Mus musculus: one gene and its partners. The protein of the gene in region 3 interacts with the protein of the main gene of each other region in a pairwise test. Links are inferred from orthologs where the notes say so. Each region holds a gene or a part of one and is shown on either strand. Other genes may lie near its edges. The genes, in order: Mpped1, Myt1l, Disc1, Sptbn1, Kif3a, Dnajc7 and Sh3bp5.

Region 1 (3,500 bases), on a different chromosome or scaffold from region 3:
ACACCCTACTCATTTACTCTGCTCACCAGCCTGGGCTTCCGCTGGCACAGGTCTGCGGTCAAGAAGAAGGCAAGGCCTGGGGGAAGCCAGGACTAGAGAGGCCAGTCATGTCCACAGTGAAGGTCACACTGGGGCCACTGGTGGCCAGAGCTCCAAGCATCAGGACAGTGATTGAACTGGCAGCTGGGCTCACCCAAGCCTCACCCTCTTGGCTAGTTCAGTGATGGCTGATGAGCCGTTCCCTGGAGAGAGGAGTGCACACCTAGGGAGCCCTGACGCTGAGTTACTCAGCTCTCCTGAGCCTGGCTGCTGGGTGGTGTGTCTCCTCCATTCCCCTCGCCCTCCTTACTAGACCATGAAGGAAGGGCACACTAACAAAGCAGGTCTCCATCCTCTGAGCACTTATGGCAATGGCCATAGGCTCAGGGGAGCCCTCTGACACCTTATAGCCACCACTGGAGGAGGGCACACTGCCACCCCATTCTGTAAGAAAGTGGGCTAAGGCATAGGAAGGTCACCCAGTGATGCCCAGGGCAACACAGCCCACAAAATGTGAGGCTAAAATTAAGCTTAGGGTTTCTTGGTTTTGGGGGGGGGTTGTTTGTTTTGGTCTCTAAGCCATGCCTCTAACCTTTATAACCTTCTTTTTAAGGAGCTGTGTGTGTGTGTGTGTGTGTGTGGTGTGTATGGTGTATATGGTGTGTGTGTGTGTGTGTGTGTGTGTGTGTGTGTATAGGTATGTGTGTGATGTGTATATGGTTTGTGTGTGGTGTGTAGTGTGTGTGTGTGGTGTGTGTATGGTGTATATGGGGTGTGTGTGTGTGTGTGTGTGTGTGTTGGGGCAGGTTGTAAACCACAGGGAAAAGAGACCCAGTCTTGATTCTTGACCTCACACTCGGAACCTCCGCCTCTCATCCTGATGGCCCCACCCTATTTTGCCCCGCCCAGATTGTTCAGGCCTCAGGACCCAAGACTTTGCTCAAGGTGAGCTTCTCACACGAGCAGGCTTCAGATCAGCCTTTGCACCCTGTCAGGCAGCCTCAGCCTCCTTCTCACATCCTTGCCCTTGGTTTCGAGTCCCTCACATCGTTGAGTGTCCAAAAACCTTCAGAGGCAGCAGGAGAGCATGGAACCCTTGAGCATCACCACCCCAGGCAGAGACAGCAGGCTCCTCCTGGGGCAGAAGAATGAGTCAGGCTGGCCCCTCTCCCATCCCTGGGGCTTCATAAGATCCACACAGGCCCTATCCCCACCTCGGCCTCAAATCACCAGGGGACACCAAACACCACGGCCCAGGGTTCCCCAGATGTGTTGTGTTTTCTTAGCTCACCCAGAGCCCTCCACAGTGCCACTCCCTCCCTGCCCACGCCCATCTCCTCCCATGAGGCTGAGGTCATCCATCTTCTCTGGGGAGCTTCCTCTCACCCTGCCAGCACTTCACACCCTGTGACCACGCAAGGGCCAGTAGATCTGCCCACAGACTATTGACATGATGCCACAGGCGGCAGCAGAATCACCACCATCTTGTTCATTACCTGATCCTTATCACTACCACCAGCCTCACCGGCGACTGCCATCATCACCAACACCAGCAGCAGCAGCGTCACTGCCATCATCATCAATATCATCACCAACATAACCATCATCACTATCATCTACACCATTACCAACTTCATCGTCATCGTTATCATCACCATCATAAGCATCACACCAACATCATCATCACCATCACCACAGATCTCCACCATCACCATCGCTGTCCTCAGCAGCACTGTTATAGTCAGTTACCATTGCCAAGGACACAGTGACCATCACAAAGCAAGTCTGGACCCGTGGTCACTTCGAGCACCACCCAGCAGGGTGAGTTCAGAGCAATGGCCCAGTCAGCCACTGTCTCCAAGAGAATAAGGGTTCCCTGTGCATTTGTTTTTTAAACAGCTGCTGTCCCCATACAAGAAAGTGCCCCATGGGACCGTCTGATGGTCCCAGATGCCTTTCCTCAATTATGTGGATCAATTGTCTTTTCCAACAACCACATGCCTTTCTGTGGGAGGACAGAAGACAGGCAGAAAGGGAAGATTCCCTCGTGCTGGAGGCGCGTGTTTGAAAGAAAGCCCTGCAGCTGCAGCCCTCCCCTGCTGAGCTGTGCCATCTTGGAAGGTCCGTACTCTCTCCCAGCTCCATTTCTTTATCGTGAGTTGGAGACAATACCACCTGCCTGCATGTAAGACAACATATATATATATATATATATAAATGTAGAGAATATAGATGATATTACCCTTCCTTGATTACCCTTCCTTGGTTCCAGATGGGGAAACTGAGGCCCAGGGGGTGACAGTAGCCTGCCTGAGGTCAAACAGATGGTGAGAGTGACAAGACCAAGTCCCAGATCCTCCTGTTCTCATTGCACCAGCCCTGAGCCTCAACTTTGGGTCCCAATGCCCCTGTAGGAGACTGGAGTTGCCACCACCCGCTTGCCTCGCCCTAACAGCTGGTGAAGGTGGGGGCCGATCACACTCACCACGGGGAGCCGTAGATCCGGAAGCCACGCACCGTGACCTCTGAGTCCTGCAGGTAGATGCAGTTGGTCAGCAGAGACTGCACGTTCTCATAGTTCTCCGGCTTCAGCTTGGACACGGACGGGAAATAATAAAAGTCCTGCTTGATGAGGTCGGCCATGAACTCCTGGTCGAAGGTCAGCTCGTGGTTGCCCGCAATCACGATCTTGTACTCATAGGGCAGGCTGCCTGCGGGGTGGGCATGCACAGAGATGCTGGCGGCCCTTGTGGAAGCCACAGGGCCACCAAAGGGAGATAGCTGGGGACAATCACTGGAGTCCCTCGGCAGGGGTACCCCACTGCCCCATCCTGACCTCTGAATCGGAGAAGGCAGTGTCCCAATCATTTTCCAGGCTCAGCCTGCCTGGCCTTTACTGACCATCAGTCCTTGTGCACAGAGCAGCATCCTTCCAGGACCTAAGCTGCCTCAGTTTTCTCTGCTTCCCTCCCTTCTGTCTACCTCTGACTAGAAGAAAACCTCCCAGGGCCATCAGCCTCAGCTGCCACCAGTCTCTCAGCTTTCTCCACCTTAGGCTATCACTCCTCAGCCTACACGTGCAAGCTCTTGGTAGAACCCGGTTCAAACCTTCAGAAATGCTGCCCTCAGGGAAAACCCCAGTGCCCAGCAGCATCCGCATGGAATTTGCAGTCAATACAAGGTTCTGGAATGCCCAACCTTTTGCACACCATGGTCTGATGTCATCTGCAAGGTTCAGACCCAAGAACCACACAGCAGGTTACAAACAAACAAACAAACAAACAAACAAACAAACCCCAGGAGGCTAACAGCCTCAGAGTGACCAGCGGTGCCCACCTACGGGGCATCCTCCCCGTTGGCCCAGAAAAATGCCATTCACCCTGCCCTCATTCAGTGCCCAGATCCCACATTGCCCAGCCCTCTGCCTCGGTTGCTGCATGAAGGAAGCTGTAATGGCTCTG
Region 2 (3,500 bases), on a different chromosome or scaffold from region 3:
TCTCTTGTAGCACCAAGGCGCCTCCAAGCTAACAGCTTTGGCTGAGACCACAGACAATCAAGAGTGCAATCGGATGTCACTTCTTGGCTTCTCTGACCTGTGAGACCTACTAGGCACATGGTGAAGGAACAGCCTCACATTTATCTAAAAATGCTGCCACTAAACTGTCTTGTTTAAATGTCAAGTTGTACCTCTTTTTTGGTTTTGTGTACTATTCAACTGAGACACCATAAAGACCATGGGTGATGGCTGTGCTAATGTCCCAGGCACAAGTTAGGGCTGGAGGGGACCAAGGCCTTTCTTTGTTCTGAGGCACAGGGCTATAGGGCTGGCAGTGAACGAACTCATAGACAGCTCCCATGGGTCATGGCTGGGGCCCTGGGCATACCCGGGCAGTACACAGGTCCTGTGGCTTGGTGGACAGGTTCTGTGGCATTTCACGACAACGTGTGGACAGGTTGAGAATGGCTGTGGCTGCCATGTGTGCGGCCTCCATGTCATGTGTGTAGTCAAAGCTGCTCTTGCTACACGTGCTACTGGCGCTGCTGCCACCACCACAGCTGAGGTTGCTGCTGCTGCTAGGTGCATAGCTGCTGGTGGTGCTGCTGCTGGGGCTGGCATTCTTGCAGTACCGCTTGGCTGCAGAGACAGAGGACAGTGTGGTTAGGCCCTGCACCCAGGATGCAGGATACACAATTGGTCCTGACCACCTATCTTTATACACAAAGAAATTAGGGTTATTCATGAAGAGCCCAGATTCTGTCCCCTTCCACACTGTGCATGCTTGAAGGAACAGATAATTAGGATGACCTTGGGAGAGGATCACCCTTGTTTTGACAGGCTACTCATGTCTGCTGCAGCATCTACCCACTTGGGTAGGACAGGACTTGGCTACTGCGACATCAAGAGGTTGACCACTCTTTCTAGCCACATGTGGCTGTGGATATCAACCTGTGTTGTTGACCCAGATCCTCAGGATCTCCAAGAACCACCACTGAGGCTATGAGGACTACAGGCTTTGTAAAGTAAGTTTCTGGCAGTGCATGCATACCAACTATTGTGAGCCAAACACCTCTGTCCTGTGATTTTTAGACAGGCTTCTGGATAGAGGAAAGGATGAGCTTGCCCTGTGCCCAAGGACAGAGACCTGTCCCTGGTGAGCATGGGACACCAGAGGGTACCTGGAGCAGCTCTTTATTTGCCTGCAGGGTGTCTTTCCTTACAGATACCTTGATTAGCATTCATTCATGGCAGCACCCTCATATACAACCAGCAGCTATTTGGGGGAAGGGTTAACTTCAGAGCTGCTTCACTGCCTCTCCTTCATGGCTGATTTATTAGCATGGGTCCTTTACACTAACACAGAGGCAGAGCTAGTTGAGCTCACAGAATATTTATTTTCACCAAGACCAGATATTCCACATAGAGACGAGACTCCCTGCCCAGCCTCCTCAGAGTGAGGAATTATCTAAAGAGAACTGTTAAGGGAATAGAGAGGCACTGAGGGGAGGGGCCTTAGACTGGCCACTGATCCTAGCTGATGACCTGAGGGTCTTTATGATTTTGGCAGTTGTCCCCCAAAGAGGAAGAAATACACAAAATGAACCATAAACCTCATGTGACTAACAGGTTTTGCAACCCATACTATGAAATTATTTCCAAACACTAAAGAGTGAAATGACCCTCACTGGTAATGTGAGTTTGGATTAAATGTCGCCTGCTTCATACTTGGGGAGATACGGTATTGGGAAAACATTTTAATAAAACTCAGGGTACTTCGGATAAGGCCATGATGATCAGATCCTGGGGCAACAGTGACTACCTCATTCTAACTTCAGCCATTACACTCAGAAACAAAATGCACAAACAACTGTTTCATCCCGGTATCTTCTAAGGAACCACAGACGGTTTCAGTACAGCTCCTGGAGGACAAGAAGCCACTTGGACACACTGGTAATTCTACAGTGTTAGTCAGGTACCTGATCAACCTGAGTAGCACAGGGCAACTCCTGTACTGGGAGCCACCTGCTTGCTCTCTTCTCTCTTTCTAAATTCCATTAGCATGATTACAGAACTGCAGCCATGAGCCCCTGAGTGACTGAGGACAGTACAGGGGACCAGGCAGAGGCCTGCACATGGGCCCAGTGGGTGACACTGGACTATATGTGCAATGCTTTGAAATGTTGTGGATGTGGTCTCACATTAATGACTCTGCATCATTTTTTTTTTTTGATAAAAAATAAGAGCATGAAATCAGTAGAAAAACTCTATACCACATATGAGGTTTCTGAGATAAAGCTCACCAAATAGTGTGGGCCGGTCTAGAATAGAAGAGCCTCCTGCATCTACCTGCCACGTCACAATGCTGGTGTTACAGCATTTACCTCCTCAAGTCAACAAGGTCTTGTCTCTTCTCTTCTCTTCTCTTCTCTTCTCTTCTCTTCTCTTCTCTTCTCTTCTCTTCTCTCCTCTCCTCTCCTCTCCTCTCCTCTCCTCTCCTCTCCTCTCCTCTCCTCTCCTCTCCTCTCCTCTCCTCTCCTCTCCTCTCCTCTCCTCTCCTCTCCTCTCCTCTCCTCTTCTCTTCTCTTTTCTCTTTCCTCTCCTCTCCTCTCCTCTCTCTTTTTAAATTTTTTTCTTTTCTTTTCTCTTTCTCTCTTTCTCTCTTTTTCTTTCTTTCTTTTAAGTGGGGATGGCAAGCTAATGGTCCAGGGGAAAAAATCCCCTTTTGTTCGTTTTTTGTTGTTGCTGTTTTTGGTTTTCCGAGACAGGGTCTCACTCTGTAGGGCTGTATCAGAGCAGGGACGTGGTGTTGCCACTCAGTGCTGTGTAGTGTCCCTACTTAGGTTCCTGGGCAGAGTTAGGGGAGAGCTAGCAGGTGTCTCTTGGAGTTTAGCTATGTTCTGTTGCATCCTGTCTCGTGACAACTGTTTCTCAGGCCAAGTATACCAGACCCCTAGCTTCCTACCTCCCTGTGGATGCTGCTATATACCCACCACACAGATGCAGACACTGGGGCCGTCTGTGGCAGGCAGCAGACACAGAGAAGCACTTGGGCTGCAGTCCAGGAAGAATGTGTCGTATTGTGCCCTAGCATTTCATTTGCTCAAAAACACTACATCTGTTGGCAACAATTTACTAAAATAAATGTTTAAAATGATTGCATTCTTCTTATCTAACTTTGATCGCTTTCCATCATCTTGAAGCTTTGAGTGTGAATATGGTGCAGCATGCACTTTTCCAGTAGGTAAGTCATGGAGATGCTGCCTGCATTCTGACAAGGGGGTAGTGCAGAAGGCTAGCAGGCGACTGAATTGTCAGCAACGCCTACGTGCACCTGTCCATTTCCATCACTCATACAGCTAGGGTCACGTTCACATCTATATCCTCCTTTTTACTGAGTCTATATAGTAACTTCTGTTCTATGTGAAATAATTTTAACACTGACTGTACTTCAATTAGTTCAAGTAAACGATGTCTTTCACCCTGCTAACACTGCCTGA
Region 3 (4,300 bases):
GATAGATAGATACATAGATAGATACATAGATAGATAGATAGATAGATGATTGATAGATAGGTAGGTAGATAATTGATAGAAGATAGACAGACAGATTGATGGATAAATGATAGATAGGTAATAGATGATTGATAGATGCTGAAGATAGATGATAGAGACAGAAGATATACAGATAGATGATTGATAGATAGAAGATAGATAGATAGATAGATAGATGATAGATAGATAGATAGATAGATGATTGATAGATAGGTAGGTAGGTAGATAATTGATAGATGATAGATAGACAGACAGATAGGTTGATGGATAGATGATAGATAGATAAATAGATAGATAGATGATTGATAGATTGATAGATAGGTAGGTAGATAATTGATAGAAGATAGATAGACAGATTGATAGATAAATGATAGATAGGTAATAAATGATTGATAGATAGATGCTGAAGATAGGTGATAGAGACAGAAGATATACAGATAGATGATTGATAGATAGGTAGGTAGATGATAGATAGATAGATGATAGATAGATAGATAGATAGATAGATGATAGATAGATGATAGATAGATGATAGATAGATAGATAGATGATAGATAGATAGATAGATACATAGACAGATACATAGATAGATAGATAGATAGATGATTGATAGATAGGTAGGTAGATAATTGATAGAAGATAGACAGACAGATTGATGGATAAATGATAGATAGGTAATAGATGATTGATAGATGCTGAAGATAGATGATAGAGACAGAAGATATACAGATAGATGATTGATAGATAGAAGATAGATAGATAGATAGATAGATAGATGATAGATAGATAGATAGATAGATAGATAGATAGATAGATAGATAGATAGATAGATAGATAGATGAAGATAGGTATAAACGGCAGAAACAGAAGACCAGGTATTACCTTTGACCAGGCAAAGGTCCACGCTCAGCCTGGGCTCCACCTGACACCTTCCCTTCAGCCTGTAATTGGAGACACCTGCATCTGACTTTGAGCCCCAGTCCCTGTTTAACCACCAGGGCCACAGGCAGGTGACTCCAACCCTTGCCACATCCAAGGGAAGATGAGGATGGTAGCACCAGCCCCTCACCGGTGTGAGGGGGACCTCATCAAAGGGCAGGACCAAGTGCCTGGCCCATGCACTCTCTGCAAAGTGGCACCTGTCGCCTGTAGGCTGTCACCTGCCCCAGTTCCAGATGTTCTGCTCTCCATCCCAGGGCAGCACTCTCAGGGCTAAGGTAATAATTACAGCCCAGGTGCTTTCTCTTTCTTATAAACAGAAGAGAAAGCCCGAGACTTGGAGAGACAGCTCAGAAAGCAGGTTTCTCATCCAGGGCTCTATTTGCTGTGGGCAGAATCCTGGCTAAACCTCAACGGTCTCCATGTCAGGTGCCAAATGTCTTTTCAAATACCCTGTAACTCAGACACTAACATGTCACACTGGCATTCCTGTATTGCCCACGATTATTTAGGTCTTGCATGGTCAAAATAATACTTAAGGACCCGTGCGTAGTGGAGCACACCTGTAATCCCAGCACTTGGGAGGCAAAGGCTAGCAAATTGGAGGCCAGCCTGGGCTAGGCAGCAGATTTAAGGCTAGCCTGGGCAACTAAGAGATTTTTGAGAATTTGCTTTGTATCGCAGAGATTTGGCCAGGGGTTTCATGTCCTCCTACCACATTAAACCCCTTTTAAAATCTACCACGTAGGCAGGAAAATCAGCTCCATTTTACAAATTGAAAAACTAAGGCATTCCCGAGTCCAGGATGCGGGTGCAGAAGACTCTTACCCTACACCCACCTACCAACCCTGTATTTTCCAACTCCCAATTGCAAAAATGTCTTCATAGAAGCCAGTTAAGGAGGTAGGGAAGCTAGTGATTAGTGCTCCTTTCACAGATGGGTAAACTGAGGCTCCAAGAGCCAAAAGAAGCTCCTAAGTCCTTTGCCTTCTCTCCTTGGCACAGCACACGCCCAAACTGCAAAGCCCAGTCTGGAGCAGATCTCCGTGCTTGTTTTATTTTTCATTGTTCTGATTTGATTTTGGTTTTTGAGATAGAGTCTCACTATTGTAGCCCAGATTGTATTAGAAAGTCTCCACAGTCTTCCTGTCTCTCGAGTGCTAGGAAAAGAGGCGTGTGCCATCACGTTCTTTTCTTGGGGTTTCTGACAGTGAGTTGCTGAGGTTGAAAAGCGGCCACCCACTTAACTCGATGTCATCACCGGGGTTGGTACGTGGCCCAAGCTGACAGAGGAAATGGAGCGGGTCCCCTCAGCCTGCGCTGCCCTGCGCGTCACAGTCCACACTCGGAAGTGGGCGGCGAGCAGCCCCACGGGAGGTGCGGGCTGCAGTTCCCACACCTCTCTCAACCTCGCCCCGCGTCCCCGCAGCGTCTGCGCCGGCCACCCGAGGGAGTCCTGGGATCGAGCTGCACTTGGGCGCTGCGGAAACCTTCGCGGCCACCGGGACCTCGCAAGGAAGGAGTGCGGGCGCGCCCTTCGCCGACTGCGCCTCAGGGCGGCCGGACTCTCGGGACGGGGACGCGCTTGGACGGGAGCTGCAGTGGGAGCTGGGGACACGACCGCCCGCACCCTGCACTCCCCGCTCACTGCCTCGATTTCCCTCCCCTGCATCAGGGTGCGCCCGGATCTCGGCAGGCCTCGTTCGCCCTCCTCCAGAACCCCGGGCCCTACCTGCGCCGTGGCTCGGACTGTGGATCGGAGCGCCCCGGGGACCCCCGCCCTGCATCGTGCGGCCGGCTGCGCCCCGGACGGCGGTGACTGTGGTGGTGATGGTGGTAGCGGCGGCCGCGGAGGCGGCGGGAAACGGGCAGGGGGCCGAGCCGAGGGCTGGCTTCTTCCTCCTGCCCAGGACCGCCGCTTCCTCTCCAGCCTCGGCCCCTCGCTAGCGCGCGCGCGCCGCCCCTCGCGGCTCCCAGACCGCAGCGCAGAAAGTTTTGCTTTTCACTTGGAGGAAACCAAGGAGGGGAAGTGTGATGGGGCAGTGTGGCCAGGGACCGAAAGACTGGGCGCTTCCCAGACCCTGGGAGTAAAAGGCGGGGTGGTCAAGAGAGGGACTTCTTCCTACCAAGTCGCGGTGAAGCCGAAGGAAAGTGACAGATGACAGGTCGGGGGGGGTGGGAGCAGCTGTTAAAAATGACTTGAGAATCGAATCTCTGGCAGCACGGGGCTGGCCAGGAGCACGGCACAAGCCTTGGCTTGTGCCAAGCTCCTGGCAGCTGGCTCACCTCCCCCATCCCTTCCCTTTGGCTGCTTCAGCAAAGCACCTGCTACAGGACAGTGGGTACAGGAAGTGCCAGTCAGGGGTTAGGCCCGTCATAACCTCGCCTCTGGACCCCGAGGCAAAAATAAACCTACAAAACTGAACTGCATGGAGTCAGCCGGAGACCTGACTGTGGGTGGAGCATGGGGCAGTGGGAAGAAGCCTGGGAGAGTGCGTGCTGGAAGGGAGGAGCCTGTGGCCCTAGAAAAAAGACCAGGTGCTGGAAAGGTGGGCCAGAGCAGTTGCCTCTTACCAGGAACCTTCGGGTAAGCACGGGCGGATGCGGCTGAAGTTGATAAAGACATGAGCAGAGTCAGGATTTAGTGCAGTGGGTAGGGTAACAGGGTTGAAAAAGGCACTGTGTTGGTATCCTAGTTTGCTTTACCTGTCAGTGTGACATAGCCTAGGGTCCTGTGAGCAGAGAGCTTTAGTCCATGATTACCTAGATCAGATTGGCCCGTATCGCGTCTGTAAGAAAGGTCTGGACAGTTAACTGGCCTTCGAAGGCCCAGCCCACTGTGGGCGGCACCATTACCTAGGTTTCGAACTATCCAAGAAAGCTAAGTGAGCTGAAGCCCATCTACGAGCCAGCTGGCAAACAGCGTCCTCTGTGGTTCCTGCTATACCTGATTGGCAGTGAAGTGAGCTCTCCATTGGAGGTTAATGCTGTGTGCTATAGCAAGCAGGCCTGCCTTAGGTTCCTGCCTTGACTCCCCTCAGTGATGGCCTGCGATCGATCTGAAGTGGTCAGCTAAAACGAATGGAACGCCTCTCCTCCTCAGGAGGCACTCCGTAGTAAATACAGTTGAATTGGCCAGCCTGCCATAAACACTCTCAGGTCTACCTGACTCACTCCCGAGGATAACTAGGCATACCTCTGAATATATAACATAAACTGTCTTAAAACAGGGGCTGGAAAGCTGGCCCAACAGTTCAGAGCACATAGCATTCTTGCAGAGGATCAGAGTTCAGTTTCACAGCATCTATCCTGAGTAGCTCAC
Region 4 (4,053 bases), on a different chromosome or scaffold from region 3:
GATATGTGGTAAGTGTTTTTGTTGCCTTATTAAATAACACACGGATTTTTATGTCAGCACTGTAAAGAACAAACCAAACCAGACCTGGAGCAGTTCTAGTATTGGGCACTTCAGTAGAGGCTTATTTTAAAGGCCTAACAGTATAAGGTTCATTTCTCTTCAAGAATTTCCAGGATTTTAAAGAGAGGTATCCACTTCTGCTTCTTTTCTCTTAAAGGAAAACAGTTAATGGTTATTGTAATCTTACCATTTTGTAAAATGTTATCTCTGAGTTGAAAACAAGCATCTACTTGACTGTTCTGCTGCCTAGTGCCATTTAGTGCCATCTCCCTGAGAGCCACCAGCTTTTGCAGAGAACATCTCCAAAGGGCTCTGTGTTCTAACATAGCTATAGCCCAGTCACAGCTCAGTGCCCAAAGCCTCCCTCCAATCCCAACACACCAGTGCTTCCAACTAGAATTTGACAAGAGGCAAAAGGGAAGGGATGAGCAATGACGCTCAGCATACAGCAGTCAGGCTTCCTGCAATCTGGAAGACCACTACAGGGGGTAAGGCACTCACAGAAGGAGGCTAAAAAGAGACTTGTTTATTTACCTAAGTCTCTCTTGTTCTGGGGCCAATTTGCACCTTGTTTCCTTTCACAGATGGTTTATCTTCATGCAGAATATGCTAATCTCCCTTAAAAAGTTAACATAAAAGCCTTCTTTCTCTAATCTACAAATTATCTGCTCTGAACACACCAACCACACCTCTAGACAGACAGACCGCTGGGTAGCACTGCTACATTTTCTTCAAATATATTTTTTCTGATTGATCTTTTTTTTTTTTTTTTGTCAGTCAGGATTTTTCTGTGTAGCTCTGGCCATTCTAGAACTCACTCTGTAGACCTGGCTGGTCTGAAACTCAGACCTGCCTCTGTCACCTGAGTGCTGAGATTAAAGAAATGCACATCACTACCTGGCTGGCTGGCTTCCTTCCTTCCTGTCTGTCTGTCTTTATTTATTTTTAATTTGAAGGAAAGATTTGCACACATGACACGGCATGGTGTGGAGGTCAAAGAAAAACTGTTGTGACTCAATTCTCTCTTGACACTATGTGGGTCCCAGGGATCAAACTTGGGTTGGGAGGGCTGGTGGGCAATATTGCACCAGTCTTAAGCTGCCTCTTTTAAAGGCAATCATTTGTAAGTCTCCAGCTAGCCATGGCCTGCTATATAAATATCTGGGCCAAACAGAATTTCAATACCACACCCAATCTTACAGAAATTTGTACTAAAAGGAAACTGGGTTATTAAGTCAATTAAATTATAAATATAATTTTGCACTGAGGTTTCATTGAATCTACATTGCACCCAAGTCTGGTGTAAGACAAATTATGAAGGCGCAGTTACTAAGTGGAGGGCTCCAACAAATGAAGAATAACTGAGATACTGTCCTATAGCAGTTAGCACATGGCTTTGTTGAGCCTGCTTTGCATGAGACCAACCTCCACTTTCCCTGTCTCCCTCCATCCATCTCTCTTTCTCTTATTTGAGACAGTGTCTTACCACATCAATCTTAGCTGGCCTAAAACTTGCTAGGTAAACCAGGCTGGCCTCAAACTCACAAACATCTGCCTGCCTCTGTTTCCTGAGTGCTAGGATTAAAAGCATGGCCACCACACCTGGCCCCTGTCTGATATTTTACGATAATCCCTTTATTCTCCTTTAATTCTATCACATGCTGCTGCTGTTACTTGTTTTTGTATGGCAAGGATGAAATGAGGGCTCTGTCCATGTTGAACAACTGTGTTTTCTACTAGCAAACACATCTCTTTAATTCAGAGTACATGCATCTCTATTCTTGGCAAACAGAAATGACTTGACTAAAAATAATCATGAATTCAGGATTCTTTTCAAAGAATCCAATCAGCAGACACAGAATAAATGTTTAGCTCCCTTGTTTCCTGAATACTTTCTTGTGGGTTTCTAGTTCATGTGAATCATGTCAAAAGTACTGACAAACTTACAATTTAATAATCAAGGCACCTATTATAATAGACTTTGTATCGTAAACTAGAATATAATTGGAATAACTACTTAACATCTACCTGGCATGGTTTTTCTCTAGAAAATGAAACTGAATGGGAATGATCAGTGGCAAACCTACTCATTAACAGCATTAAATATGGCCTTCCCACAGGACACTGCTACTTTTCAGATCTAAAGCCCTTGTAACAAGGTACTTACCAACCTCTCACCGAAAAGATCAGCTAATCTGCCACTGGCATTACGTATACAGCCAAGTTGGATATTTTATATAAATATAGTATGTTAAAACACTTGAAATTAAAGATGTGTTAGAATTAAAAAATCCTTACAAACTCTTAGCAGCTCTTTCTAAATTGCTGTAAACATTATTTACTGTGTTCTAAACTATGTTGGTCATTAAGTTCGGCAGCTCTCCAAAAGTAAATGTCTTATAAAAGGGTAAGCAAGCTCTCATAGGATATGTTAAAGCAGGGAGAGGTCAACTTCAAGCAAGACAGCTTAAAAGAGAAATGGTTGATGTTCAAGGGACTACAGAACATCTGGTGACAGGTGGGACATACAACATCAGGACACTTACCTGCCAGGGCCTTGATGCGGGAGCGCTCAAAGAGCCTTGCAGAGCTGTTCTCATTGTCCCAGTCATCCACATCCCAGCGGTTGTTCACATCACTGTACTGCTGCTGGATCTCAATGTTGTCATAGTCTGTGGCTACCGTGGTCGTCATCTTGACTGTCTCAGCTGCTTGTCCACATCAGTTACTTTTCAGAGTTCTGTGAGTAAAAAAGGAAAAGCACAGGTGTGTATACAAAGTGTACATCCTCTATACACCTGCTGGGGTGATAATAAGGAAAAACTAGGACAGTCACTGCTTGTCCAGATGTGCCTTCTAGAGCCAAGGCCAGTTCTGAACTTTGGCTCTGCTTCATAGCACATGTGTGACCTCGGTCATGCTACTTTAATGCTTTCCCCAAACCCGGAGGAGGGAGAAGACTGAAGGAAACACTGGGTGCCAAATTAATGTTCTTTCCTAAAGGAGTTTAAAGTGTCTGGGCAGTGATGGTGCACACCTTTAATCCCAGTACTCAGGAGGCAGAGGCAGGCTGATCTCTATGTGTCTGAGGCCAGCCTGGAGTACAAGACAGCTATGGCTACACAGAGAAACCATGTCTTGAAAAAAACCAAAACAGAGCAAAATGAACCAAAAAAGTTTAAGGTGAAGGTTTAATGTTTTATCAGGGCTGTATCAGCATCTACATGGATCTTTTTAAGTGAATTCCCTTAGTTTTATTGTCTATTACCGTTTAGTTTTTCCTTCATAAGCTACTATATAAGAAAAACTAACAAATCATTCTGTCTCTATGTCTCATTTACATATTAGAATTGATGCCTAAGGTTAAGATGGAAGCATATGGCAACAAAGATAGTATCCATGCATAGTAAATACTCAATAGGTATTATAATTATTTATACCATTGTTACTATAAATTCTAGGACCAATACCAATAGTAATGCCCACTCCTTTAAAGCCCTTGAGGATAATGGTGGGTTTTTTTTTTTTTAAGGAATAACTATGAAATAAGCTCTGGCTCACTAAAGTCTTCACTTTATCAATGTATTCTTGGAGGATCAAGAGAAATATGTTTAGTTTTAAATACAGTTTCTCCATTCAATACAGCTATTACTCACATGCAGAACCCAACCATATTGAGGAATTACTACATGATCAGCAGTGCTCTAGATTCCTGGGGAGAACAATAAATGACACAAGTGTTACATCCTCATAGAAGGGAGACCAAAAACACACACACACAAAAGCCAGAGAGTTTAAGGAAAATAAAATACAAACAGATGAATTTGAAACTGGCTATTTTAGACTGGTCAGAAATAAATACTCTGCTTAGTGTAGGTCTCGGTGTCTAAAAGGTACAGATCATGGCCAGATCAAGAAGAATGGCACACCAGACAAAGGTACACCAAGGTATGCTCAGTATAGTTGGAGTCAGGTGTGCAGAGGGAAAGGTAA
Region 5 (3,500 bases), on a different chromosome or scaffold from region 3:
TACCTATAAACCCTTTCTGTATATGTAGAGATCTTTAATTGCATTTATCGAAGGCTTGTAAAGTCTTAGCACATCCGGGATGCTGAGGTGGAAAAGTAGACTTTTCTAACTATATTTAGAGCAAAAGGAATGTTCTTCTCACTCTTTGTAAACACTGTCTCCACCAGATCAATAAGTCGGAGAAGCCGGAAAGCTGCGATAATGTGAAGGTGGTGGTTAGGTGCCGGCCTCTCAATGAGAGAGAGAAGTCAATGTGCTATAGACAGGCCGTCAGCGTGGATGAAATGAGGGGAACTATCACCGTCCATAAGACCGATTCCTCCAACGAACCTCCAAAGACATTTACTTTCGATACTGTTTTTGGACCAGAAAGTAAACAACTTGATGTGTATAACTTAACTGCAAGACCAATTATTGATTCTGTTCTGGAAGGCTACAATGGTGAGTGACTGTGCAGCTTGCTTTTATTGTTGCATAAGTAATGCCCGGTAAAATCGGTAGTTTACGTATCGCAGCTATGGCTTGATGAGCTATGGTAACATAGACGGTTGTGAGGCCTCACCCAGGTCCTGTTCTAGAACACTAATATCACCCTGCAGCGCTCCTTTCCACCCTCTTGCAGCTCCCACCTGCGTCCATTGACCTGCCATGGCGTCACTGTAGTTTTGTCCTTTTGAAAACGCATTTAAATGATGCCACGAAATGCCATCTTATGTGTAGGAGTATATTGCCTTCATGTAGGTCTGTGCTTGTTCCATATGCTTACAGTGGAGGTCAGAGAGGGTGGGCAGTCCTGGGACTGGAGTTCCAGGGTTTTGAGCCACCATGTAGGTGCTGGTGCTGAGAATCCAACCTGGGGCCTCAAGAGAGCAGCCACTGCTCTTAACTACTGAGCCACCTCTCCAGCCCATAAAATGCTACCTTTTAAAAAGCAGTTTTCTTTCTCTTTGTGTAATGTTTTGAACTTACCTGACTTCATCAGTAACTTCGTGACTTGAGAAAAAAAAAAAGATGTATTTATTCTTATATATGTGTATGAGTAAGTGTTTGCCTGTAAGTATGTGGACCATGTGCGTGCCTGGTGCCCTCCGAGGTCATAAGAAGGCTTTGGATTTGTGAGCCACCATGTGGGTTCTAGGAACTGTATCTATGTCCTCTGGAAAAGTGTAAAGGCTTTAAATTGCCGAGCCATCTCTCCAGCCCCTATCTTATTTTATTTTATTTTGGATGGTTGGTTTTGTTTTGTTTTTTTAAAGATGGTTTCTCTCTGTAGCTCTGGCTGTCTTTTGTAGATCAGGCTGACCTCAAGAGGTCTCCCTATCTTCCTGCCTTTGCCTCCAGGTGCTGGGAGTGTGTGTGTGTGTGTGTGTGTGTGTGTGTGTGTGTGTGTGTTTTAACTGCTGAATTGTGTTGCTTGCCACTGCACCTAGTTTTTGTGTATGTGTGTGTGTTTTAACTGCTAAATTGTGTTGCTTTATTGAGTCAGGTTCTCATATATTCCAGGTTGAATAACCTTAAATTTGTTAGTAGTTGAGGCTATCCTTAAACTCTTGAACTCCTTCCTGCTTCTCTAGCCTCCACTTCTGAACTGTATTCCATTGAATATGTGTAACACACTGCCCATTTACCAGTGGATTGAAGTCTAGATTTTTGTTAGATAAATAATGCTGCTGTATGCCTTTGTAAAGATGTAAAGTTTGTCTTGGATAGCTACCTAGAAACTGGATTGTCAAATGGTAAGAGAGAGAGTGTGTGTGTGTGTGTGTGTGTGTGTGTATCTCCAGTTGCTCCAGCATTGTGCCTTTGATTTCAGCACTTGGGAGCAGAGGCAGGCAGATCTCTGAGTATAAAATAGTGTTTAAATCCTCGATTGACAGAGAGTATTGAGTCTTCCGTTTCATTACCATGACTATGTCTTGCTCGCTTAAACTCTTTCACTTCTTTTAATAGTTTTACATTATTCTTACGAACTTAAGAAATTCCTTATGTGGGGACATGTGAGCCCCAGCATGGTATTCACGTAGCAATCAGAAGACACTTGGGGGAGTCATTCCTGCCTTCCTGGAATCAAACTCAGTGTCTTACCTACTCAGCCATCTCTCTTGCCAACTTCTTGGCATTTTGTCATGAATAGAATTTTCTGCATAATTTTATATTGGAATTAAGTATTGTTATTAATACACAGAAGTACATTTGATTTTAAAATAATTTTTATTAAGTTAAAATTTTAAGTGACATAAATCCACTCATCGTTTACAGTATAGGATTAATATTTCCAGTGGATCACGGGGTACAGACTGCCACCACCTCCTGTTGTTAGACTGTTTCCAGCAACCCAAGAGGGAATTTGAATTTCAGTCACTTCAGTCCGCTCAACACCACTGCTCTGTTGGAGTTTCCTGCTCTGGCATTTCATAAAAGTGGCTCACATTCCGCATAGTCTTTTATCTGACTTCTTTCATTAAGCACAGTGTTTTCTGTGCTCATTCTTACGTAGAGTGTATCAGTATTCAATTCACTCATTCATTCATTCATTCATTTATTCATTCATGTCATCACCAAATAGTATTCCCGTGTATAGATACTTTTTGTTTGTACATTCATCTGTTGAACATTTGGGCTGTTGTTACTTTCTAGCTAACTATTAGGAGTAATGTTTAGCATATTCTTGTACAAGCTTTTAGCTTTTCTGAACATATACACCTAGGAGTGGAGTTGCTGAGTCATGGGTTTACTTTCTTTGACCTTTTGAAGAACTGCCAACGTATATTTCACAGTGACATCACCATTTCACATTCCTACCAGCAACGTAAGCGGTCCAGTTTCTCCGCTCCCTTCCCAGCATCTGTTACCATCATTTTGGTATTAGCATCCCAAAGACACAAAGTCCTGTCTCATATCAACCTCATTTCTGCAACCTTGCTAAACTTAAAAATTCTTGTCACATTTCTGTGTTTGCCCCAGGTTAGCGGGTGGAAATCAAAATCTAGACCTTTATGCTTTAAAAAAAAATTCTCCAGGATTTTCTACATGCATAATTACATTGTCTGCCAGTAAAGACAGCTTTTACTTTTCTTTGCAGTCTTTTGCCTTTAATTTACTTTTGTTGCCCGAAACCCTGGCCAGAAAATTCAATAAATGTAGAGCATAATTGGAGAGAGCAAGTGCCCTGCTCCTGCTTTGACTGTGAATCTCATGTTAGCTGTAGGTTCCCACACACATTCTCAGCCAGACTGAGGAAGCACCTCCCTTCTAGTTCAGTTTGCTCACAGGTGTTTGTTTTGCTTATCTGTCTGTCTGTCCTTTCTTGCAGGAATGTAATATTACGTATTTTCAAATGCAGTTTTGTTCTTTTGAAGTTTGTCACTAGGTTTTTATAAGTGACGCCAGCTTTGTCACTTAGTCATGAATTATTATTCTTTTCAAATATTGTTACATTTGATTTGCCAAATTATTATTCAAAATTTTTGTGTTCACGAGAGATATAAAACACAGTTTTC
Region 6 (3,500 bases), on a different chromosome or scaffold from region 3:
CTAACCATTAGGAGCATTTCCTCTTTTCATTGTGACAGCCACAACCATCTCCTAATTGTGACAATGTCCCCTCAAGATCAAGTGCTCCCTCTGAGAGCATTGTTCTGCCTTTTCACTGCATGCTGGTGTGTAGACTGTTTTTTTGGTTTTTTGGTTTTTTTGGGGGGTTGTTTTTTTTGTTGTTGTTTTGTTTTTTGTTTTTCGAGACAGAGTTTCTCTGTGTAGTCCTGGTTGTCCTGGAACTCACTCTGTAAACCAGGCTAGCCTTGAACTCAGAAATCCTCCTGCCTCTGCCTCCCAAGTGCTGGGATTAAAGGCGTGCGCCACCACGCCCGGCTGTTTGCTGTTGTGTTGACCTGTGCAGTCATATTTCTTTCCTCCCTCTGTGCTTTCTTCTAGGGACACCTCCGAGAAGGCAAGTGCCACCTCTCACTTGGGAATGCAATGGCGGCATGTCGTAGTTTCCAAAGAGCCCTAGAACTGGATCATAAAAATGCCCAGGCACAGCAGGAGGTAGGTCTGATCTGTTCCTATGAGAGGTGGTGGTGCGGTGGGTCTGGAAAGAAGAGTGACCAATAAGGCAGGACTGACAGTCTCACTTCACCAGCAGCCACACTTAGCCAACTTTAGGTAAATCTCATAGTCTCTGCGACTGTTACCTTAACTGTTAAATGAGTTTTCAGTATGTAAAAAGTGGAAAGCTTCAGAGATGACTGGGTAGACGCATAATGCTTCAGGAAGGAAGCTAAGGAACGAAATTAAAGCATTTGAATAAAGTCAGAGCTAGGGTGTAGCTCAGTTACAGAACATTAGTCTAGATGTTCTGAGTCTCGGTTTCAGACCTTGGGTTTGTCAGAAAGAACTGGTCTATGCTCAGATGTGGCTTAAGCTGGTAGCACACGTCTTTCAGTTCCACCTTTGTAGTAGGTGCCTGGACACATCTGAGTGAGCATCTCAAAACTGCCCAACCCCTGGCTTATGGTGGCCATATTTTATGTCTCCTGTCTTCCTGACAGGAAGTCAACATTAAACAAGAAACTTGGGTCTTGACCTTTTCTGTTTTCTTTTAAAAGATAGGGTTTCAAGTCTGGAAATGCACCTCACTGGACAGTGCTGGCCTAGCGTGCGTGAGGCCCTCGTCTCAGTAAAGCCTTCTGTGGTAGTGCACACTTTGGAATCCCATTACTTAGACAATGGAAACTGAAGGACAAGTTCAAGACCATCTGCAGCTACATAACAAGTTTAAGCTAGCCCAGGCTACATGAGACCTTGTCTCCAAACAAAACAAAAAATGGGTCTCCATGTAGCCCAGGCTAACTGGTCTCGTCTGTCTTGGTATTGGAGGGGTCTATTTGTCACTAATTTTATGTGTATTGCTATGAGAGTATCAGACCTTCTGGAACTGGAGTTACAGACAGCTGTGAGCTGCCATGTGAGTTGCTGGGAATTGAACCCAGGACCTCTGAAAGAGCGGCCAGTGCTCTTAACTGCTGAGCCATCTCTCCAGCCCGTCACCAGCTTTTTAAGGAAATGTTTAATTCTTATTTTCCTTGGAGTGGGGGTTTGGTTTTTTGAGGCAGGGTTTCTCAGTGTGTCCCTGGCTGTTCTGGAATTTGTACTGTACACCAGGCTGACCTCGAACTCACAAAGACCTGCCTGCCCCTGCCTCCTGACTGCTGGGATTAAAGGCTTGCACCACAACTGTGGCTCCTTTTGTTTTGTTTTTTAAATTTATGTGTATATGTACTCTTGTGCTTTCGTTTGTATGAGGGCAGACTTGTACTGGCTGTGGCAGTGATGTTGGAGATCAGGGTTATTGCCTGGAAGATCATGTCTCCTGTTCTGTCTTGCTTAAAACAGTCTCTCTAGTTTTTTTGTCTTTGAGACAAGAGTCTCACATGTCTGTGAATGCCCTGGAGCTGGATGTATAGAGCAAGCTGCCCTTTGCTTCTCAAGTGGACATTACACTGACCAGCAAGATAGGATCTCTTGCTTGCTTGCTCCATACTCACTCTCAGCTAACTGACACTCCAGCTACTGGAGAGTCTTATTCCCAGTCCATCTTGCCTTGGCAGCACTGGGTTTATATATACACACTGCCATGTCTGGTTTAACATGGGTTATGGAATTTGATCTCAGGTCGTCACACTTGTATGGCAAGTGTTTACACACAGAGTCATCTCCCTCACCTTGATTTTGTTTATATATTGTATGCACGCATGCCACCTGTATACCTGTGTCTACAGAAGCCAGAAGAGGGCATCAAATCCCCCTGAGGCTGGTGCTAGGACTAAACTCAGTACTGTGGAAGAGCAGCGAGAGCCCTTAAACACTGAGCCATCTCTCATGTGTCCTACCCTATGAGTCCACACACCCCCTTTACTGGGTTTCTAGATCAGGTCTCTATCTGATACACTGTGTAATCCAGGTTAACCTTGCCCTCGCTATTCCCCCGAGTGCTGGCGTTACAGACATGTAGCACCATGCCTGCTGCTTTGATGTGATTCTTTTTTTCCTTCTTTCTTTTTCGAGATAGGGTTTCACTATGTAGCTGTGTAGCTGTGGCTGGCCCTAAACTCACAGGAATGGACCTGCTCTGTCTCTCTCTGTGTTAGGGTTAAAGGTGCTTGCCACCATGCCCAGCTTCTGTGGTTTGAAAAAGTTGTGTTGTTGAGACCGTCTTACTATATAGCCCTGGCTGTTCTGGAACTCACTATGTAGTTCAGGCTGGCCTCAAACTCAAGAGATCTACCTCCTGAGTGCTGGGATTAAAGGTGTGCACCACCATACCCCGCTCCAGTGATATTCTTGAAAGAAGGAATTCATCAGGGTCTTAGTGACTTTTATGATTGTTCAACCTAAACTTCATTTTTTTCCCATGGTGTAGTTCAAGAACGCCAATGCCGTCATGGAGTATGAGAAAATAGCAGAAGTGGATTTTGAAAAGCGAGATTTCCGGAAGGTAAAGTAGAAGCGACTACAACCTACCCTCCTCTGTGCTGTGATAATACAGAGCGGTCTAGACTAGTACATTGTCATTCAAATTTGGCTTTGACCTTTTCTCTCTTAAAAGTATTTTTTGCTAAGTTGCTTTATTTCTTAATTTTATTTGGCTTTTCAATAAGGAGCAAAAATCAGCTTGCTTATATTCCCGTTGGCTATGTCAGGTAGTGTATCTCAGATCTGTGCTAATTAATGAAAGAAAAGTCAGCTGGAAATAAATACTGGGGCTGAGTAATCCATATTTATCTGATTAACTTGCTTCTGATGGAGTAGATGCTATAAATAAGGGTGGGAGACGGAAACCCTCATTACATTTTTGGAGTGTGTGTAACCTGTTACATCACCTCTCTCTGCCGTCTGTCAGCCTCGGCTTCAAGTGCTAGGATTACAGCATGAGCCCCTGCCACCTTTTTGATGTTATTTTGGGTCTTGTGTGTAGCTCAAGCTGGCCTGAAAGTTGGCAGTCCTCTGCTGCCGCTATACCCAGCTTGGTGTTA
Region 7 (3,500 bases), on a different chromosome or scaffold from region 3:
CACCTATTGTCAACCTCAGGCTTCTACACACGTGTGTCCATACTATACAAATGAAAAAATTTGTGCACACATACCACCATACTTGCTACAAACAACAACAGCAAAAAACCCACAAGGCCGGGTGTAGATGGGAAGTAGAGACAGGAGGATTATGGCAAGTTCAAATCCAGCCTACTCTATAAACCAAGTTCCAGTCCAGCCAATGCTGTCTAATGAAACCTTAAAGGAAAATTAAGTGGTTCGACTCATCTTTGTAATCCCAGACTTCAGAAGGGTGAGGCAGGAGGATTTGCTTGAGTTTGAGCCCAACCTCAAAGCCTCAAAGAAGATTTAAAAAAAAATTAGATAGATAGATAGACAGACAGATAGAGCGATAGATATAAATAGATAGATAAATAGGTAGATGGATGGATAACGGAAGAAGGGGCAGAGAGATCCCATTTTAGAAAATGTTGGGTCTCAGGGGGTGAGTCCCTGTGTCAGAGCTGTGGGAAGGTTGTGGGTATACTGAGATAGGGGGATGGGTCACAATTCACCTTCCTTAAGCCTGCCCAGATCTCCCTTCTTGCCTGTCTGGAGAAGTAAGATGGGCAGGAGGCTCAGCTTGGGGAAAGAGTGCAGTTGTCAGCGTGGTACAGTTACTTCTCAGTGGCTGGTTGGTTCTAGAGAGGGTGTGCATCCCCACCCCTATATGTGCTTCAGGCTACCTCAGGGGATGTAGATGGCTGGTAGGTGGGCATTCATTTAGGCTTCTATTACTGTTATTGTTATTAATTTTTTTGAGACAGGATCTTGATGTACAGCCCAGGCTGGCTTTTTAAAATGCTCCTTTCCGGGCATTATCAGATCTCCTACAGACCCTTCAGAGTCTTAAGTGCTCCCCTGACCTCCATCAGCCCTGAGTTGGAGCTCCTGCCTGCCCTTCAGGCCTCTCTTTAGGAAAACCTCCCGCAGTTTCCTCTTATGTGAAGCAAGTTCCATTCTCCTGCCCTGACCCAATCTTGAAGCATAGATTTCTACACATCATCTACATGTGGGGCGCAGTCCCCAGAATGGATCTCTCTGGGCTGTGGGTGTGCACAGACCAGACAAGCGGATGCCCGTTGTGGGTTACCATGGGTTACCGGGCTGTTTCTTCCCCCAGGGCTGCTATATTCTCAGCTGTTCCTCTTAATTTTCTTTGCAAAATGCCCTCAGTCTATGTGAAAATTTCCTCTAAGTCATGTGAGGCTTTCTCTGGGGAAGGGTGGGGTCCGCTTGTTCCCCTCCTAAGTCCCAGGGACTGTCCTGGGGCTGTCCCATTAGGGCTTCTGTAATTGGCCCAGGGACCCTGTTGACTCTGGAAGTGGTCTGGGGCAGATTAGCAGGAGCCATGTCCTGCCCCTACCCAGGTGGGAATTTGGAGGTGAGCTGGAGGAGAGAGGGGCCAGCAGTGACTGCTTTCAGGGGAGTGTGTGCTTCAGTGTGAGTGTGGACACCAGAGGATGCACTCCAGGGGTCCTCACTGAATACCTTGTTTGAGATAGGGTCTTGTTTGCCTCTGCATTCACCACACCAGTTGACCTGGTCTGTGAGCATCTGGGGGGATTCTGCTGTCTCCGCCATTTCCCCTCTGACCCTGGAGCACTGGGTTTCGGATGCGTGCTACTGGGTCTGGTTTTACATGGATTCTGGGGCCCTGAACTTAGGTCTTCACGCCTGCACAGCAAGCGCTTTTCCTACCAAGCCATCTCCCCAGCCCTGTGTCTCATGCAGTCACATGACATAGCCCACTCTTGAGGGACGAACATCAACAGCCCTAAAGTAGTAGAGAGTCACCTATGAGGAAACAAACAGCGGAAATTAATTTCAGTCTATTGGATTTAGTTTAGTGTATCTCATCATTGATCAAAAAAATGGCTAATGGGATAATCAACATTTTTCTACTGAGTCTTTAAAATGAGGTGTGTGTGTGTATTGTGCATGTGTGCATATTCACATGTGTGGCACATGTGTGAGCAGGTAGGTACTCATGAATATGTGTGTGTACGTGCTTGTGTGTGAGTGGGTATCAGGAATCGTCTACTTCAGGTTTTGAGGCAGGGTCTCTCAGTCAAGCCCAGGACTCTAAGAGTCAGCTAGTCTTTCTAACCAGCTTGCTTCAATAACCTCCTGTCCTTATTTCCTGAGCTGTGGCAGCTGCCACACCTCCCTGGCATTTATGTGAGTTTTGGGGATCTGAGCCTCCGGTCCTCCTGCTCGTGTAGCAAGCACAGCAACTTCTGAGCTCTCTCTGGGCTGTGAGAGATGTTTGCATTTTCTTGTTAATCACATTTAGATGCTCAGGGGTTACGTGCTGGCCTGAGATTGTTTAATCAGTACAGTGCTGGCTGTGCAAGCATCCCCAGAACCTGCGGAAGGAAGCCAGGCAGGAATCCCAGAGCCGGAGAGGTGGCTGGATCCTGGGGCTCTCTGGCAGCAGCCTAGCCTAACAGGGGACTTCCCGCCAGTGAGAAACCTTGTCACAGAAAACAAGGCTCCTGAGGAGTGGTCTCCAGCATTAACGTCAGATTTCCCCATGTGCACATGTCTACATGCAGACACATGCGTTGGCGGCTGCTGTTTGGGCTGCTGTTTGTATTGCCTCTTCCTTCCTGAAAGCAGGGCTTGTGCTCTCAGTAGGCCTGGGCCTGGGTGTATATGTGGACTGAGGGGGCTGTCTGGCAGTGGACGTGCTAGGCTGGCACTCGTGCTGTGGGGCATTTGCCTGGAGCCTTGCTTCTGATCAGCTTTGGAGTCTCGGGAAAAGCTGTTTTCAATTACTGTGCCTCATCTGTAGAGCGGAGCCCTACAACTGTGGTCTCTGGAGCACTTTGGGCTGTGGCGTGCAGGGAAGATGCCCAGGACTGCTGTGCCTATCTGGGCATCAGTCCTAAGCCAGGACTTTGGGGAAAGGCTTAATTAGCCATTGCCATCACAGATGCAAGATCCATGCATCTGATTATCTGTTGAGCTCCAGACTGGAGACTGTCTGCCCACCGACCTGGTATTCACTCAGCCACTGGCCACCTGCTATCCCGTCCCACATATGAGGGACCTGTCCCATGCAGCCTGTCCAAGAGGGAGGCAGAGATGGATAGGTCAGATCTCGGGCCACTCATCTCGGGGGGTGGGAGCAATGGACCTCAGGGAGTCCTGGCCTTTGCCTCAGGCCTTACTAGACCTTCTCTCTCAACAGGCTCAGCTGGAGGCGCAGAAGGCCACACAGGACTTCCAGAGGGCCACCGAGGTACTCCGTGCAGCCAAGGAAACAATCTCTCTGGCTGAGCAGCGGCTGTTGGAGGATGACAAGCGGCAGTTTGACTCTGCTTGGCAGGAAATGCTGAACCATGCTACTCAGAGGGTAGGCGGGACCTGTGTGCGCTGGTGGTGGGGACCCAAGCCACATGCTGGATGTCCTTTGGCTCCCCCACAAGAATAGAGACAGGTTTCTAGGCAGCATGAAACCCTCCTGTAAAGGT

The links.
Region 1: the proteins of Disc1 (region 3) and Mpped1 interact in a two-hybrid assay, tested with the Homo sapiens proteins (2 studies listed by BioGRID and IntAct). The link is inferred for Mus musculus from reciprocal best matches to the Homo sapiens genes DISC1 and MPPED1.
Region 2: the proteins of Disc1 (region 3) and Myt1l interact in a two-hybrid assay, tested with the Homo sapiens proteins (2 studies listed by BioGRID and IntAct). The link is inferred for Mus musculus from reciprocal best matches to the Homo sapiens genes DISC1 and MYT1L.
Region 4: the proteins of Disc1 (region 3) and Sptbn1 interact in binary tests that used the Homo sapiens proteins (3 or more experiments, as listed by UniProt). The link is inferred for Mus musculus from reciprocal best matches to the Homo sapiens genes DISC1 and SPTBN1.
Region 5: the proteins of Disc1 (region 3) and Kif3a interact in binary tests that used the Homo sapiens proteins (3 or more experiments, as listed by UniProt). The link is inferred for Mus musculus from reciprocal best matches to the Homo sapiens genes DISC1 and KIF3A.
Region 6: the proteins of Disc1 (region 3) and Dnajc7 interact in binary tests that used the Homo sapiens proteins (3 or more experiments, as listed by UniProt). The link is inferred for Mus musculus from reciprocal best matches to the Homo sapiens genes DISC1 and DNAJC7.
Region 7: the proteins of Disc1 (region 3) and Sh3bp5 interact in a two-hybrid assay, tested with the Homo sapiens proteins (2 studies listed by BioGRID and IntAct). The link is inferred for Mus musculus from reciprocal best matches to the Homo sapiens genes DISC1 and SH3BP5.

What each region holds. Positions count from the first base shown.
Region 1 is NC_000081.6:83,835,523-83,839,022, reverse strand, and holds part of Mpped1 (metallophosphoesterase domain-containing protein 1), read right to left. Parts: exon of another isoform or gene 2,761-3,500; intron 2,751-2,760; coding exon 2,525-2,750; exon of another isoform or gene 2,312-2,524; intron 2,225-2,311; exon of another isoform or gene 1,559-2,224; intron 1-1,558. UniProt on the Homo sapiens protein: May have metallophosphoesterase activity (in vitro).
Region 2 is NC_000078.6:29,846,384-29,849,883, reverse strand, and holds part of Myt1l (myelin transcription factor 1-like protein), read right to left. Parts: intron 640-3,500; coding exon 389-639; intron 1-388. UniProt on the Homo sapiens protein: Transcription factor that plays a key role in neuronal differentiation by specifically repressing expression of non-neuronal genes during neuron differentiation.
Region 3 is NC_000074.6:125,052,695-125,056,994, reverse strand, and holds the start of Disc1 (disrupted in schizophrenia 1 homolog), read right to left. Parts: upstream 2,801-4,300; 5' UTR 2,766-2,800; coding exon 2,711-2,765; intron 1-2,710. UniProt on the Homo sapiens protein: Involved in the regulation of multiple aspects of embryonic and adult neurogenesis. Required for neural progenitor proliferation in the ventrical/subventrical zone during embryonic brain development and in the adult dentate gyrus of the hippocampus.
Region 4 is NC_000077.6:30,216,973-30,221,025, forward strand, and holds the start of Sptbn1 (spectrin beta chain, non-erythrocytic 1), read right to left. Parts: upstream 2,801-4,053; 5' UTR 2,755-2,800; coding exon 2,607-2,754; intron 1-2,606. UniProt on the Homo sapiens protein: Fodrin, which seems to be involved in secretion, interacts with calmodulin in a calcium-dependent manner and is thus candidate for the calcium-dependent movement of the cytoskeleton at the membrane.
Region 5 is NC_000077.6:53,570,369-53,573,868, forward strand, and holds part of Kif3a (kinesin-like protein KIF3A), read left to right. Parts: intron 1-167; coding exon 168-441; intron 442-3,500. UniProt on the Homo sapiens protein: Microtubule-based anterograde translocator for membranous organelles. Plus end-directed microtubule sliding activity in vitro. Plays a role in primary cilia formation. Plays a role in centriole cohesion and subdistal appendage organization and function.
Region 6 is NC_000077.6:100,595,628-100,599,127, reverse strand, and holds part of Dnajc7 (dnaJ homolog subfamily C member 7), read left to right. Parts: intron 1-399; coding exon 400-513; intron 514-1,073; coding exon of another isoform or gene 1,074-1,148; exon of another isoform or gene 1,149-1,701; intron 1,702-2,887; coding exon 2,888-2,962; intron 2,963-3,500. UniProt on the Homo sapiens protein: Acts as a co-chaperone regulating the molecular chaperones HSP70 and HSP90 in folding of steroid receptors, such as the glucocorticoid receptor and the progesterone receptor.
Region 7 is NC_000080.6:31,387,601-31,391,100, reverse strand, and holds part of Sh3bp5 (SH3 domain-binding protein 5), read left to right. Parts: intron 1-3,217; coding exon 3,218-3,382; intron 3,383-3,500. UniProt on the Homo sapiens protein: Functions as a guanine nucleotide exchange factor (GEF) with specificity for RAB11A and RAB25. Inhibits the auto- and transphosphorylation activity of BTK. Plays a negative regulatory role in BTK-related cytoplasmic signaling in B-cells.